Arabidopsis thaliana: one gene and its partner. The protein of the gene in region 1 purifies or fractionates together with the protein of each later gene. This does not show direct contact. Each region holds a gene or a part of one and is shown in the gene's direction. Other genes may lie near its edges.

Region 1 (6,365 bases):
AGCTGCAATGGAAGAGAACGGTAGATGATATGAAAGAGAAAGGTTCTTTGAGGAATTGTATAGCTGTCTGTGACGTTTCAGGGTCTATGAATGGTGAACCAATGGAGGTTTGTGTGGCTTTGGGTCTGCTAGTCTCTGAGCTATCTGAAGAGCCATGGAAAGGAAAGCTAATAACTTTCAGCCAAAATCCGGAGTTGCATTTGGTGAAAGGAGACGATCTGTACTCAAAAACAGAGTTTGTTAAAAAAATGCAATGGGGTATGAACACTGATTTTCAGAAAGTGTTTGATTTGATTCTTGGAGTGGCCGTACAAGAGAAGCTGAAGCCGGAAGAGATGATCAAGAGGGTGTTTGTGTTCAGTGATATGGAGTTTGATCAAGCGGCGTCGTCGTCACATTATTCAAGACCAGGCTATGCATTTTTAAGGCAGCCTCCAAGTAATCCAAGTAATGGATGGGAAACGGATTATGAAGTGATTGTGAGGAAGTATAAACAGAATGGGTATGGAGACGTTGTGCCGGAGATAGTGTTTTGGAACTTGAGGGATTCGAGAGCAACGCCGGTGCCGGGAAACAAGAAAGGAGTGGCTTTGGTGAGTGGCTTTTCGAAGAATTTGATGAAAATGTTTTTGGAACATGATGGAGAGATTGATCCTGTGATGATGATGGAGACTGCTATTTCTAAAGATGAGTATAAGTCGCTTGTTGTTGTTGATTAAGAAGCTTTACTGTTTTTTTGAGTTTGGTTTTGTATTCCTGTTTCATGGTTGAAGCTTCCATTGCAATTTTATTTTAATAAATTTGGCCCATTGATTTTACTTTTTTTTTCTGAACCAAGTAATCGATACGAGACCACTAACCTGGCTTTTATTCATCAATCGATGCTCTCTCTACACGTAACCTGCTTCAAAACACTCATAGTTCGCCGGAAACAATCACTCGTATCATCGGATCTCGGCGTTTAGAATTCAGAATCCGACGACTTTGGCGAGCAAACCTTACGCAAACTATGGATGGTATTGGAAATGAACGACAACAAGAACAACCGTTTCATTTACAGATTTACTTCTTCAAATGGGCTTTTCTTCTCTAAATGGGTTTACTACCTTAAGGGGCTTTTCAACTATAGGTTCAATTATATTCTTATGTAAGGGTACTAACTAGTGTGGGCTGTAAACGACTTAAAGTTTCGGCCATTTAGTTTTATGCAAGAAAAAAAATATAGATAATACAGTAATGATGAATCCACTATACATGTTAAATCCAATATAATAAATCCACTATACATTAGTGTTCTCATATTTCGTTTCAAGATTCGATTCAAAAAATTTGAAAATGTTAAATATGTGTTTCTGAGATTAAAGGCCAAAAGAAGGGTAAGGTCGTATATGAAAGGTGGACAGAGGGGCAAATTAGTCAGCTTGAAAAATACATCGACATTAAAAATCGGCAGCACTGACAAAACGTGTGATAACACAAATAAAAATAATCGGAAGAAAAAGAATAAATAAGGCGTATTGACTCTGGAACGTGAGAAGATGAAAGAGAGCGACGAAAACCTCTAAAGACTTATCGAGAAGTGCACCTTAGCCTAGTGAATAATGATATGTATTGACATTAACTACTACTACTACAGCTCCCAACACGTGAAAGACATGCATCTAACTCTTTCACTTTCGGTTGCCAAGAAAAAAAAAAAAAAAAAACTTTCACTTTCGGCATCAAATATATACTACTAAAAAAGTTTTTTATACGTAATTCTTTTTTAATATTTGATTAGTTCAGAATATTAATTAAAAAAATTACTTTTCGTAATCACTACATTTTGTAGTTATATGATTTTTAATTTAAAATAGTAAAAAGGAGAAATGTAACTAATTAAGCTAACATGCGCGCGATAGAATAAGGTGAAGTTTAAATTTGAGCACAAGATAGAAAATTGAGGTCAATTTAATTCGGAAGTGGTTCAAGGTATATTTTCACAAGAAAGAAAAACGTGAGTTCATTGAATCCCTCTATAACTTTACTTGAGAACAATGTAATAATATGTAAATCTGTTAGGAAACGAGCAGCCACATATGCTTTAAACAAGAGAACAAGAAAAAGAGCGGCCACATGTGAAAAAAAAACACCAGCCAAAATGTGAAACTAAGAAAAGAAAAGAAAAACCATCGACATCGTCCAAAGGATCGACCCGTCTTTTCTGGTTTGGCAGAAAACAAACTTCCAAGTTCCGACTTGACCTAGTCTTTATGCATCTGCAGTGGTGTTTTCTTTAAATCTTTTTTTGAATGGATTTGAAAATCTTATTTTTTCTTCTTCTTTCAAAACACTAACTGTGAATCACCACCAACATTTTATTGTTCTAAAATCCCTATTTGTATGTTTTATTGGTTACTTTCCCAAATATGATGAAAGTTTATTGGTGTACTTTAGTTTAGAAATGTAAGAAATTTCAGTTGTATTATTAGGTCAACCAAATATTATTCTTGAATAGTAATGTCAAATTTTGTTTATATTGAAAAATCAATAAGACTGATATCTACTAAATGTGATTTGCTATACTAGTAGAGCTAGTAGTAGCAAGATTAAAATTCATATTAAGAAAAAATGGAAAAGAAAAACATGTTTCGAGAAAAATATACAGATCAGAGACTAGAGTAGAAAACAAATATAATGTCAGAAGAACCCAATGTGACGAACAGTAACAGAAACATGTTACCAAATTTTTGAAGATATATTTTTATAAAACATTACAATGTTCATTGGACTTCCGTTATTTCCGGATATAAAATATCTTCTTTCTGCGTAGCAAGCAATTACATTACATTAGGTATATTAAGAATTTAAACATGTGTTTTGAATCATTAAATTAATTAGATAAGTAAGAGAAGAGGTTGGGAGCCTAATAAAAACAAAACAAAAAGGAAAAAGTGGATAGGTTGCCAATTGTGCCGAAAAGAAAGAGAAAGCATGAACCTCGTGCGTTAAATAAGTATCAGAGACATACTACATTTTAAAAACTCTCACATGAGAAATCAGAATCCGTTATTATTCCTCCATTTATTCATCTCAAAACCCATATCTCTCTGTCTTGATCTCTCTCTCACTTTCTAATAAGATCAAAGAAGATGTCGAAAGCTACCATAGAACTCGATTTCCTCGGACTTGAGAAGAAACAAACCAACAACGCTCCTAAGCCTAAGTTCCAGAAATTTCTCGATCGCCGTCGTAGTTTCCGAGGTTCGTTTGGTTTTTAGTCGCTCTCTCTTTTTTTTTTCTTGCGATAAATCGAATTTATTCATATGGAACTCCTGCAGATATTCAAGGTGCGATTTCGAAAATCGATCCGGAGATTATCAAATCGCTGTTAGCTTCCACTGGAAACAATTCCGATTCATCGGCTAAATCTCGTTCGGTTCCGTCTACTCCGAGGGAAGATCAGCCTCAGATCCCGATTTCTCCGGTCCACGCGTCTCTCGCCAGGTATTTTTGTCTTTCCGGTAAAGTTTTTTTTTTCTTTCTAACTTTTTTGGCGCTACCAGAAAAGACGAAAAAATTTGAAATTCAAATTTTCAAAACATTCATTTTCCTCAGGTCTAGTACCGAACTCGTTTCGGGAACTGTTCCTATGACGATTTTCTACAATGGAAGTGTTTCAGTTTTCCAAGTGTCTCGTAACAAAGCTGGTGAAATTATGAAGGTCGCTAATGAAGCAGCATCTAAGAAAGACGAGTCGTCGATGGAGACAGATCTTTCGGTAATTCTTCCGACCACTCTAAGACCAAAGCTCTTTGGCCAGAATCTAGAAGGAGGTTAGTATAATAAAAATAAAAATCACTTAGTGCTGGATTCTTCTAGAATTTTAGTTACATATTATTGCATGTAGAGATCTAAGAAGAGTTTGTTGTTAGAGAGGAATTGGTTGCTAATTAGTTTGGAATTAGATATCAAAGAGTTAAAGACTATAGTTTATGTCTATACGTATTAATATACGTTATTAATAAAAGTATAAACATGTTGTTTAATTTCTGATAAGAAACTGGTTTATGCGTGTGTATGCAGATCTTCCCATCGCAAGGAGAAAGTCACTGCAACGTTTTCTCGAGAAGCGCAAGGAGAGGTAATGATTCTTCAACAATCCAAGGATTTTTACCCCCAAATAATTAAAGAAAGGTTTTTATTTTTCTCTCTCTCGACCTTTTTTTTACTATAAGTTATTTAAGATAGTAATTATGGGTCCTGCCTCTTTTACTCTCACATACAACTTAAGATTCAACTAGTTTTGTTCAACAACGCACATGCTTATACGTAGATAGATAATGGAGATCAGTAGTAATATCGGTATACGTAGGTTACTATTGTAATGGAACTTTTAAAAAGCGCGTTGACTTTGAGTCTTTGACTCTAGTTCTGTTTGCTACACCGACAAGTTATATTTTTCAAAATGATGAGAAAACGAGGAGAAACACCGGAAAAAAATTTGAACTTTTACTTTTATCAGACCATACGGCCAAAGAAAGATCTGTATATTATATAAGTTATCACAAAACGCGGTTTCACATTTTCTTTTTCGTCTTGTTGTGTTTGCAGATTAGTATCAACATCTCCTTACTATCCGACATCGGCCTAAACGATCTCTTTTTAGATTGGGACATGGACCAAATTTGTCTTTTTCAATCGGAAGACATCCATGTTCGTTTTTGGATTTGGCTTATTTCCAATCTTCTTTTGAAGCCTTCTTCGTCGTTGCTAAATCGTATACTATTCACGACAAACGTTTTTAGGAGATTACGTTACCTACTAAGATTATATATATTGGTTTGTTTTTAAAAATGTCTATTATCTTTATTGTCATTGATAGCTTGATTTAAGAAGCTCTCTCTTATCCCGTGACCTTCTACTTTTGTTTTATTTTTTAGTATATGGTAAAGAAAATTATAACACGCCTCTTTTAGCTTCTCATGAAGCTTCCGTATCAGAGTATTATTAAAGGAAATGTGGCCATTCATCTTTGATTATATTGGTTGGTCTCTAGCTTGGGTTGTCCTAATTGTTATAATGGAAAACAGTTTAAGAAACACGTGAGTATTAGTTATATAATACTATCAAGTCTACCCGACTAATTGTGTCTTTATGTCAAAAGTCTTTTAACATGAGTTTGGTGGAATTTGTACATTGGAATGAAGATGAAAAGAAGTGGTAAAGTGAACGTACTTTGTGTGGCTTCTTTTAGACAATTACCCCTTTCATTGAATAGTATCCATCACTAGTACTAACAAAAAAGGGATGGCTGGTCCGGATTTAAGAAACAAAAACCACACAACCATTCACTGCGTCTTCTTTATCATTGAAACCAAGATACTGTAGCTTATTGATATGAAATAAATACCACCATGTGCATACGTGAGAGTTTTTTTATTACATGTAGTTTCTTAAAAATGTTTTCGTGTCTCTTTAAGTTGTGTCAAGTAAATTGCTTCTCATTTAATCTACTGCGATGACATAAACTTAGTTTGCACATTGCAATGGCTAATGAGAGTACTAAACTTACATCATGTTGTTTAAGCTTTGAAGATGGAATACCGTATATCAAGTTTTAATTAGTAGCTCTGATTCAGATGTTTGGTTTAGATTCAGATTCAGATTAGTCAAGTGTTTGGCTTTGGTCAAGTTGACTGCATAAGCCAATCCTAATATCTTTGATTCATCACGAGTAATTCAAATTAATTATTTGATTCGATTTGGTCCAACACCAACAGTTTATCCTGTTCGTCTGGAAAAAATCTAATATATCAACCAGCTATTTACATAGCATTCGGCCAAATCATTCCAATAGAATGAAACATCCTATATCAATCAACAGATCGAGAAAATGAATGTCCAAAAACAAAACCTGTACTAACTGATTCACATCAGTTTGGAAACAAACTTAAGAAACAGGAATACTTAATTTGAGGAAAATCCTTGTAAATTTGATTATAAAAAAAATTACTTGCTAGATGGCAATACAATCTGCGGAACTGAGAGATTTCATAACCCAAAAAAAAAGGAAATTGCATAATTTAAAATTCACCATTATCAGTTTTGAGCAAACAAAACAGAAGTTAGAAAAGAGATTGACGAATCGGGACATCAGTTTTAAAAAGCTCGATTTATATAATCCGCATGAGTTATAGGAAAGCACCGTTGTAGTGCAAAATATTCATCATCTGCTCCGATTCGTTCAATCAATTTTTTCAGTTGAAATTAAGATTCAGAAAAACAAGAGGAAAACTAAACACCAACTTCAAAACAAATTCTAGCAATCCTAGCTTAGAAATTCAGATCTTAAACATGGAATAACAAATAACGAAGAGTATTGA
Region 2 (7,364 bases), on another chromosome or scaffold:
TAAGAGACCATCACATTTGTTAGGATACAGCAATATGAATTGCAATCTTTACTTCGCCTTAATAGCAAGATCTTGAGCTCGATCAATTAATCACTTTCGACTCGACAACACATATTGAGAAAACCAAACAAGAAAATATATATTAGAGAACATAAATTGACATATATAGTGTTCACCAACCAAAATGGTGAACTACTTCAAGTTAGCCTCACAAGATTGTTGTAATCGATGGAAGTTTACAAGTTTAGTTGTTCTGATCATCTTATTAAACCAGTAATCCGACTAACAATTGGCTAGTAGTTCACCTATATGTTATATTCCAAAACCTCTCATATTCATGGTCAATTACAAAATCACAATATTGTTTTTTTTTAAAGCACATCATAATAAAGTCAACAATATATAATTTAAAAACCTTTAAGAAAAAAATAAATTTGGGTAGGGTTTGGTGAGTGGTGTCGATAGAAATGGCGGATGCATCCTTTAGATTAAAGGTATGGTACCAACTTGGATCCATTTCTTCGATAACGACTCTTCCTATTTCCACTCTGTTTTTTTTTTGTTTCCCTCTTCTTTATCTCATATCTTCCACTACTCTCAATAGTCAATTCTATATCCCAATTTTTATGTTAAGTTTTTACGATTTACAAGTTATTGGCAAATTGAAAATTGCTGTCAACTTGCTAGAGGGTATTGTAACAGTACTACCAAATATGAGGTCGAGTCTTAAGTGCTATATATGGAGAGAGATGATTTACGTTTGTGGAATCGCAATAAGTATATATTATCAAATGCTAGTCCATGGACATAAAACTATGAGCCAAAAATTAGAAATTTCTGGTTAACAATAACAATAAAGAAAAAAAAAATGGTATATGCATATACAGTATAAGGTAGATAGTTTTGATTTTTGAAGACCATTGATTAATATTATATATTTCAATATCAATTGTTGGTAAGTTATAAAAACCTTCAAACGAGAGTGAATTAACTTCAAAGTCACAAAGTTCGACTTTCGATGTTAAAAAAAATAAAATGTTTACACGTTCCATTCTCTTGTTCAAAAAAATTATGGATCAGTATTCCAAATTTCATAGTAATCTAAAAAGAAAAAGTTGCATTAATATGGTTTGCTTATCTAATCATTTTTCGGGACATCACCGTATGTATGGATGACGAAACTATATTTTAAAAAGAAGTTTTCAACTGTTCGTTTATTCATGCATGTATATCTTGACAATTACGACATTGGATGAATTGAGTGATGAATCCTTATCGTACATCACGAGTATAATTACATGTATCATGCATTGTTATCAATTATCACTTTATATATTGGATAATGAGAAGGGATGTCACGCAAGACCAAGCAAGGTTTAAGGGAGAATCGATATTGGTCAGACTCATGTGAAAATATATTTCTCCTCCTTCGTCTTGTCAATTTATTACTCTATCTCTTGTATTTTTCAATTGTTTTGGTATTCACTTCAGAAAATGACTAGTCTTCGTTTTTATGTGTTGAGCCATTTTCATTTACATGCATCTAAATGATCTACTGAATATGGATATCGAAGAGATTTTTTAGTATAATGGTTTGTGCTAGATCCTTTAACAAAAAAGTAAATGGTTTGTGCTAGTGTTTTTGTTGTATTGCTAATTTGCTATCCAATTCATAGCACACATGTTGTTGCCAAACAAATGCTAAATCCATTTTAAAAGTATCAACTAGTAAATTAGCTTAACAAATTTTTTGTTAACATGTTTATGAGATGTTTTTTTAAGAAAAAAAAAACTCATTTAACATGATTACATTTAGGGTTTGATTGGTTGTTTTAAACTGAAAATTGTCTGTTTGCAAAAATGTTTGGAATGATTATCTTTTTGCAAAAATTGCGTGACATGTTGAAGTGTTGCAATGCTGGAGGTTCTGCTAACTAACAAGTAATAATCGTATAAGTGACATGATCTTCCATTTTTTAGAGATACTAACCAAGAATTGTAAAACCAGGAAAAAAACACTAACCAAGAATTGATGATTGTCCATCTAGACTAAAGTAGTATACAAACAAAACACAAAAGATATTTTGTTCTATTTTTGGAATAACTCTTATCCATTTATAGAAATAATTAGTTGTTTAATCAAAATATCACATGCAAATTGATCGTATGCGATTTTAGATAAATTGACATCCACTCAGTAATAAACAAACAAGATACTCTCTGATTACAAAATAATCTCTGTTTTCTTTCGTGTCATTTTTCTTTATCACTCATGCTATTATTATATTTAAATTTAATATAAAACTGTTACCATTTACTATTTTATTTCACTGTTTGACGCGAAAAAAATAATCAGCATAAGATTTACCCAAAAAATAAAAAATAATTGGGATACTTAAGCAATGCATGATTAGGCTATAATCTAGAGAGACTAATAGGATGCTTACGTGGCAGTCTAGGGAGCTTCGCTGCTCCAAAAACCATTCCCCTAAAATTGAAGCCCATAGACTATTAGCGACTTCACTCTTTCTCTTTCTTTCTCTCTCTCTCTCTCTCTCGCTCTTCTAATTTTGCCCTCAAAACCCTCCAATTATTACGAAAACGCCACTGCTCTCTCGTCGGGACTCCGGTGAGGCCGTTTTGGCCGGAATCTGACAAGGGATATGGATGTAGGAGTTACTACGGCGAAGTCTATACTTGAGAAGCCTCTGAAGCTTCTCACTGAAGAAGACATTTCTCAGCTTACTCGCGAAGATTGCCGCAAATTCCTCAAAGAGAAAGGTTTCTTCTTCTTCCTTTCTCCATTTTTTTCCGGTCTTATTGTCTTCGACGGTAGGATCTTCCTCACGGATTTTGCTGAGAAGAATCGTACATAGTCAATTTTTTGAAATTCTCTATTCTTCTTCTCTCCGAGCTTTTTTTTTCGCTCTCTGGAGAATGGCGGCTGACACGTGTCGAAACAGGAATGCGCAGGCCTTCGTGGAATAAATCTCAGGCGATCCAGCAAGTTTTATCTCTTAAAGCTCTCTATGAACCTGGAGATGATTCCGGCGCCGGAATCCTCCGCAAGATCCTTGTTTCTCAGCCGCCAAATCCGCCTCGCGTGAGTGTTGTTCTTCGATTTTGTTTCGATTTACAGAGAAAAATCTAAGTTCTGAAGTAGTAGAGAATCGTTTACTTGGTTGGTGCTGATTTAGGGAAAATTGTTGTTCTGTGTGTACTGCTGTTTTGTTCACAGGTTACAACAACGTTGATTGAGCCAAGGAACGAGCTCGAAGCTTGTGGAAGGATTCCTTTACAGGAAGATGATGGTGCGTGCCATAGAAGGGATTCTCCAAGATCAGCTGAGTTTTCTGGTAGTTCTGGTCAGTTTGTTGCGGATAAAGATAGCCACAAGACTGTTTCTGTTTCCCCCAGGTTTACATTTTCTTCTATAGCGTTTTGACTTTGTGTGGTATCTTTCTTCTGCTTTCATGCCTCAAGAAGAGAACTGATGCATTGTGACATTCTGTTTGTGATCTTAGAATAAGTACTTGGTTTGATATCAGTGTCTTAGACATTGAAAAGTTTCTATATGAATCATGGTTTTGATGGTGGATTGGTCACACAGAATTTAGGTTAAAAGAGTCAGATAGATCTTCTTGGTTCTGTGTTACTCTTTACTCTTCTGTTTTGAGGATTGGTATGATGTGATGTGATTATTGCTAGTGAACGATAAATCAGTTACTTAGTCCATTAGTCTATATGATTTGTGAATTCTGCAATTACTAACAAGAGTTTTAGGGGTAGTTCATGTACAAAGTCTTATTGATATTAGGTGCATGTTGTTTTATAAACAAATTACTACTCCAATGTTATTTAATTAAGTTGTTTAAACACGCTTTTTTGTAATGTTGCATCAGAAGCCCAGCTGAAACAAATGCGGTGGTTGGGCAAATGACGATATTTTATAGTGGCAAAGTGAATGTATATGATGGAGTACCACCTGAAAAGGTAAATGAATCACATAATTCTGTCCAGCCTGAAAATATAAATTTTGATGGTATGGTTTTGATCATTCATCTTGTGTATTGATTTGCAGGCCCGGTCTATCATGCATTTTGCAGCCAATCCAATTGATTTGCCTGAAAATGGTATTTTTGCTTCTAGTAGAATGATTTCGAAACCCATGAGTAAAGGTAAGCATTTGCTAAAGTGTCTGATCTGCTTTTCAGTTGAAAGATTGATGATTCAGACTTGAAATGAGTTTTTTTTTTAATGTATAATCTAACTTGAAAAAATGACTAGAGCTGCTGCATCTCAAGATGAGTCTTTCTTTCTTTCTTATGTCAAACACGGCCTTTCATTTTGTCCAATTTTGAAAGGAGGCATTGTTAAATTACCAAAGAAGCATGTCTAAATGCTGTAATTGCTGCTACCTCTACTAGCTTATGTGTCTACAGATGCCTCGTGCCCCTTTTTTTGAAATTGTGATTTGATTTTTTCAGAGAAGATGGTGGAGCTTCCCCAATATGGACTTGAAAAGGCACCTGCTTCTCGTGATTCTGGTACAAACAGTACTCATTTTACCTTAAAGATATGAAATCCTATTATTCAATGATGCTTTAAAACACCTGAGAGCGAAATTTGGTCCACCTCTTCACCTCTACATGCTACGCTAAACTACTTGCTTGTTCTGCATGATATACGACCATGAAATTCTGTTAATTTAACTATTGTTCTTTTTGTTGGTCTTTTCTGAAGATGTTGAGGGTCAGGCGAACAGAAAAGTATCGTTGCAAAGATATCTTGAAAAGCGGAAAGACAGGTAGTTGTTGCTATTATGCTGTGTGCTTGCTTATTCCAAATCGATGAATACTGATACCTTTCTTTCTGAGCAGAAGATTTTCTAAGACCAAGAAGGCTCCAGGAGTTGCGTCCTCTAGCTTGGAGATGTTTCTGAATCGTCAGCCACGGATGAACGCTGCATATTCACAAAACCTTAGTGGCACAGGGCATTGCGAGTCACCTGAAAATCAAACAAAAAGTCCCAATATCTCAGTTGATCTAAACAGTGATCTAAACAGCGAAGGTATGAACAAGCATTTGTCAAATGGTTCCAATGATCTCCCTTAAAACTCTCATTCGCTTTTTTATAGATAATTAACAAGGTGCCAAAAGAACTGGAGATGGTACTACGGGTCAAAAGGCGGGAAGAACAATTTCATGTTCTTATAACATGTTAGCCATGTACAAAAAGAAAGAAAGCAAACAATGAATGTTCTCGTTCATTGTGGAAGAAACATGGGTTAAAGATTTGAGCTGGATCAGTGCGGGTCTTGTATGGTTTTGTTTTTTTTACGGGTTGCGTCCATCTTTTTTGGTCTGTAGTTTTGAGTAGGTTAGAGAGACGCGAGAGAGAGAGAGAGGATGTGGCGGTTTGTATTATGTAAATGCTTGTCTTATAATGAGAGAGACCTTATTGATGATACCAATCTTTGAGGTCCAAGTAACACAACTTCTTTGTGATTGATATGTATGAGATAATTAATTTGTCTATTTTCATGGCATGATGTATGTGATATGTCTGAGATTTGCAACATTCTTCTATAAAGTTGAGAAATAAGGGTAGTTTAGTCTTTTTAACCAAAGATTTTTATTTATTTGATCTTTTCCCTGTTTTAAAAAGAAGAATCGAGTAATCGGGTGGTTTTGAAGACGAAGAAGGACTAAGACATCACGAGGAACACGATGGGTGAAGCGGTCAAGGTATGTTTTTATCTTTGTCTCCTCTGCTTCTGATCTGTTAATGCCAATCGATAATTCCTAGTTTTGCGATGCAAGCATGAATCGTCGATTGTTATCTGAGTGATTTGATTCATTTTCGACGATTTTCGAATCATCATAACTACTTCTTTTGCTCAAATCTCGCAGTCAGTTTAATGCCTATTCGTATTCAATTTAGTTATGCAATTGACGATTTCTCGAATTGTCTGAAGTTTTGAAGCTAAAATCAGATTAAATATAAAATATCTGAACATTGCCTCCCAAGGAATCTAATCCCATCTTGATGTGCTTTTGCTTAGGATGGGAGAGAAGAAGTGATTCAAGCTTGGTATATGGATGATAGTGAAGAGGATCAGAGACTTCCTCACCACAAGGATCCTAAAGAGTTTGTATCGTTGGACAAACTTGCAGGTCCCCCTCTTTGTGTGTTTCAATTCAATGTTGTTCTCTCTGCTTCTCTATTTTGTTTCACATGTAATGTTTGTGTGCAGAGCTGGGAGTACTTAGCTGGAGACTTGATGCTGATAACTATGAAACCGATGAGGATTTGAAAAAGATCCGTGAATCTCGTGGTTACTCTTACATGGTTTGTGGTCTTTATTTATTTACTATCCCACTAGACTTGAATGGTAGATGTTTATTTTTGTCCAAGTCTTATTTTAACTCTCTAGGGGTTTTCTCAATCTTGGTTTGATGATTAAAAAGTGTTCAAAATGCAGGACTTTTGTGAGGTATGCCCGGAAAAGCTTCCAAACTATGAAGTGAAAGTGAAGAGCTTTTTCGAAGAACATTTACACACTGATGAGGAGATCCGTTACTGCGTTGCAGGAACTGGTAAGAACTTCTTTTACTGGCGGCTTTACTCGTAAACTTAAAATTTCGATATAGTAGTCATGTTTTATTTTCTTGGGAAAAAGGTTACTTTGATGTGAGAGATCGTAATGAAGCTTGGATTAGGGTATTGGTAAAGAAGGGAGGTATGATAGTCTTACCTGCTGGGATCTATCATCGCTTCACTGTGGACTCTGACAACTATATCAAGGTGCAATGTCAGCTTTTCTTCTAGCCATTTATTTTATAGTTTGGGCTTGCTTAGAAAATTGAAATATCTTGTTGAACAGGCAATGCGGCTATTCGTGGGTGAACCGGTATGGACACCATACAATCGCCCACACGACCATCTTCCTGCAAGGTACAATGTCCTGGGTTTTCCCCTTTTGTTTGTTCTCTTATGCAAACAATGGGATATATAATCAAGCAAGAAATTCTGTTATTTTACGAGAAATAAATTCTGATATTTTACAGGAAAGAATATGTCGATAACTTCATGATCAATGCCTCGGCTTAGAGAGCTTCCTCTCTCTATATCTGGCTTTCTGAAACAAGGATCTATAAACAAGGCCTACAATAAAGAAAGCTTTCCTGTCAAGTATTGGATATTTATATGTATTCCTGTGTAGAATGATGGCTTTTGGTATGCTTGAGTTGTTGTAAACTTAGTTACACTCTCTGATATGTCTCTCTTTACCATCTTTGTCGTATCCCATATACGAAAAGATTACATTGGGATTCATATTGTCTTACGTTCGTTCCTATGT

What was found.
Region 2: the proteins of JAZ10 (region 1) and AT4G14720 purify together in Arabidopsis thaliana (affinity purification with mass spectrometry; 2 studies listed by BioGRID). This does not show direct contact.

The regions. Positions count from the first base shown.
Region 1 is NC_003076.8:4,215,870-4,222,234, forward strand, and holds JAZ10 (jasmonate-zim-domain protein 10), read left to right. Parts: upstream 1-2,958; 5' UTR 2,959-3,131; coding exon 3,132-3,243; intron 3,244-3,320; coding exon 3,321-3,815; coding exon of another isoform or gene 3,816-3,820; exon of another isoform or gene 3,821-4,065; coding exon 4,066-4,127; coding exon of another isoform or gene 4,128-4,170; 3' UTR 4,171-4,593; coding exon of another isoform or gene 4,594-4,633; 3' UTR 4,634-5,044; downstream 5,045-6,365. Other genes in the region: AT5G13210 (Uncharacterized conserved protein UCP015417, vWA), read left to right, coding at 1-719. UniProt on the Arabidopsis thaliana protein: Repressor of jasmonate (JA) responses. Interacts with and suppresses RHD6 and RSL1 transcription factor activities to negatively regulate jasmonate-stimulated root hair development.
Region 2 is NC_003075.7:8,430,234-8,437,597, reverse strand, and holds AT4G14720 (TIFY domain/Divergent CCT motif family protein), read left to right. Parts: upstream 1-2,492; 5' UTR 2,493-2,663; coding exon 2,664-2,781; intron 2,782-2,963; coding exon 2,964-3,103; intron 3,104-3,238; coding exon 3,239-3,417; intron 3,418-3,902; coding exon 3,903-3,993; intron 3,994-4,081; coding exon 4,082-4,178; intron 4,179-4,487; coding exon 4,488-4,547; intron 4,548-4,743; coding exon 4,744-4,807; intron 4,808-4,880; coding exon 4,881-5,115; 3' UTR 5,116-5,138; coding exon of another isoform or gene 5,139-5,146; 3' UTR 5,147-5,625; downstream 5,626-7,364. Other genes in the region: ARD1 (acireductone dioxygenase 1), read left to right, coding at 5,731-5,748, 6,066-6,177, 6,258-6,352, 6,486-6,600, 6,684-6,808, 6,888-6,958, 7,072-7,114. UniProt on the Arabidopsis thaliana protein: Regulates the arrest of dispersed meristematic cells during lamina development.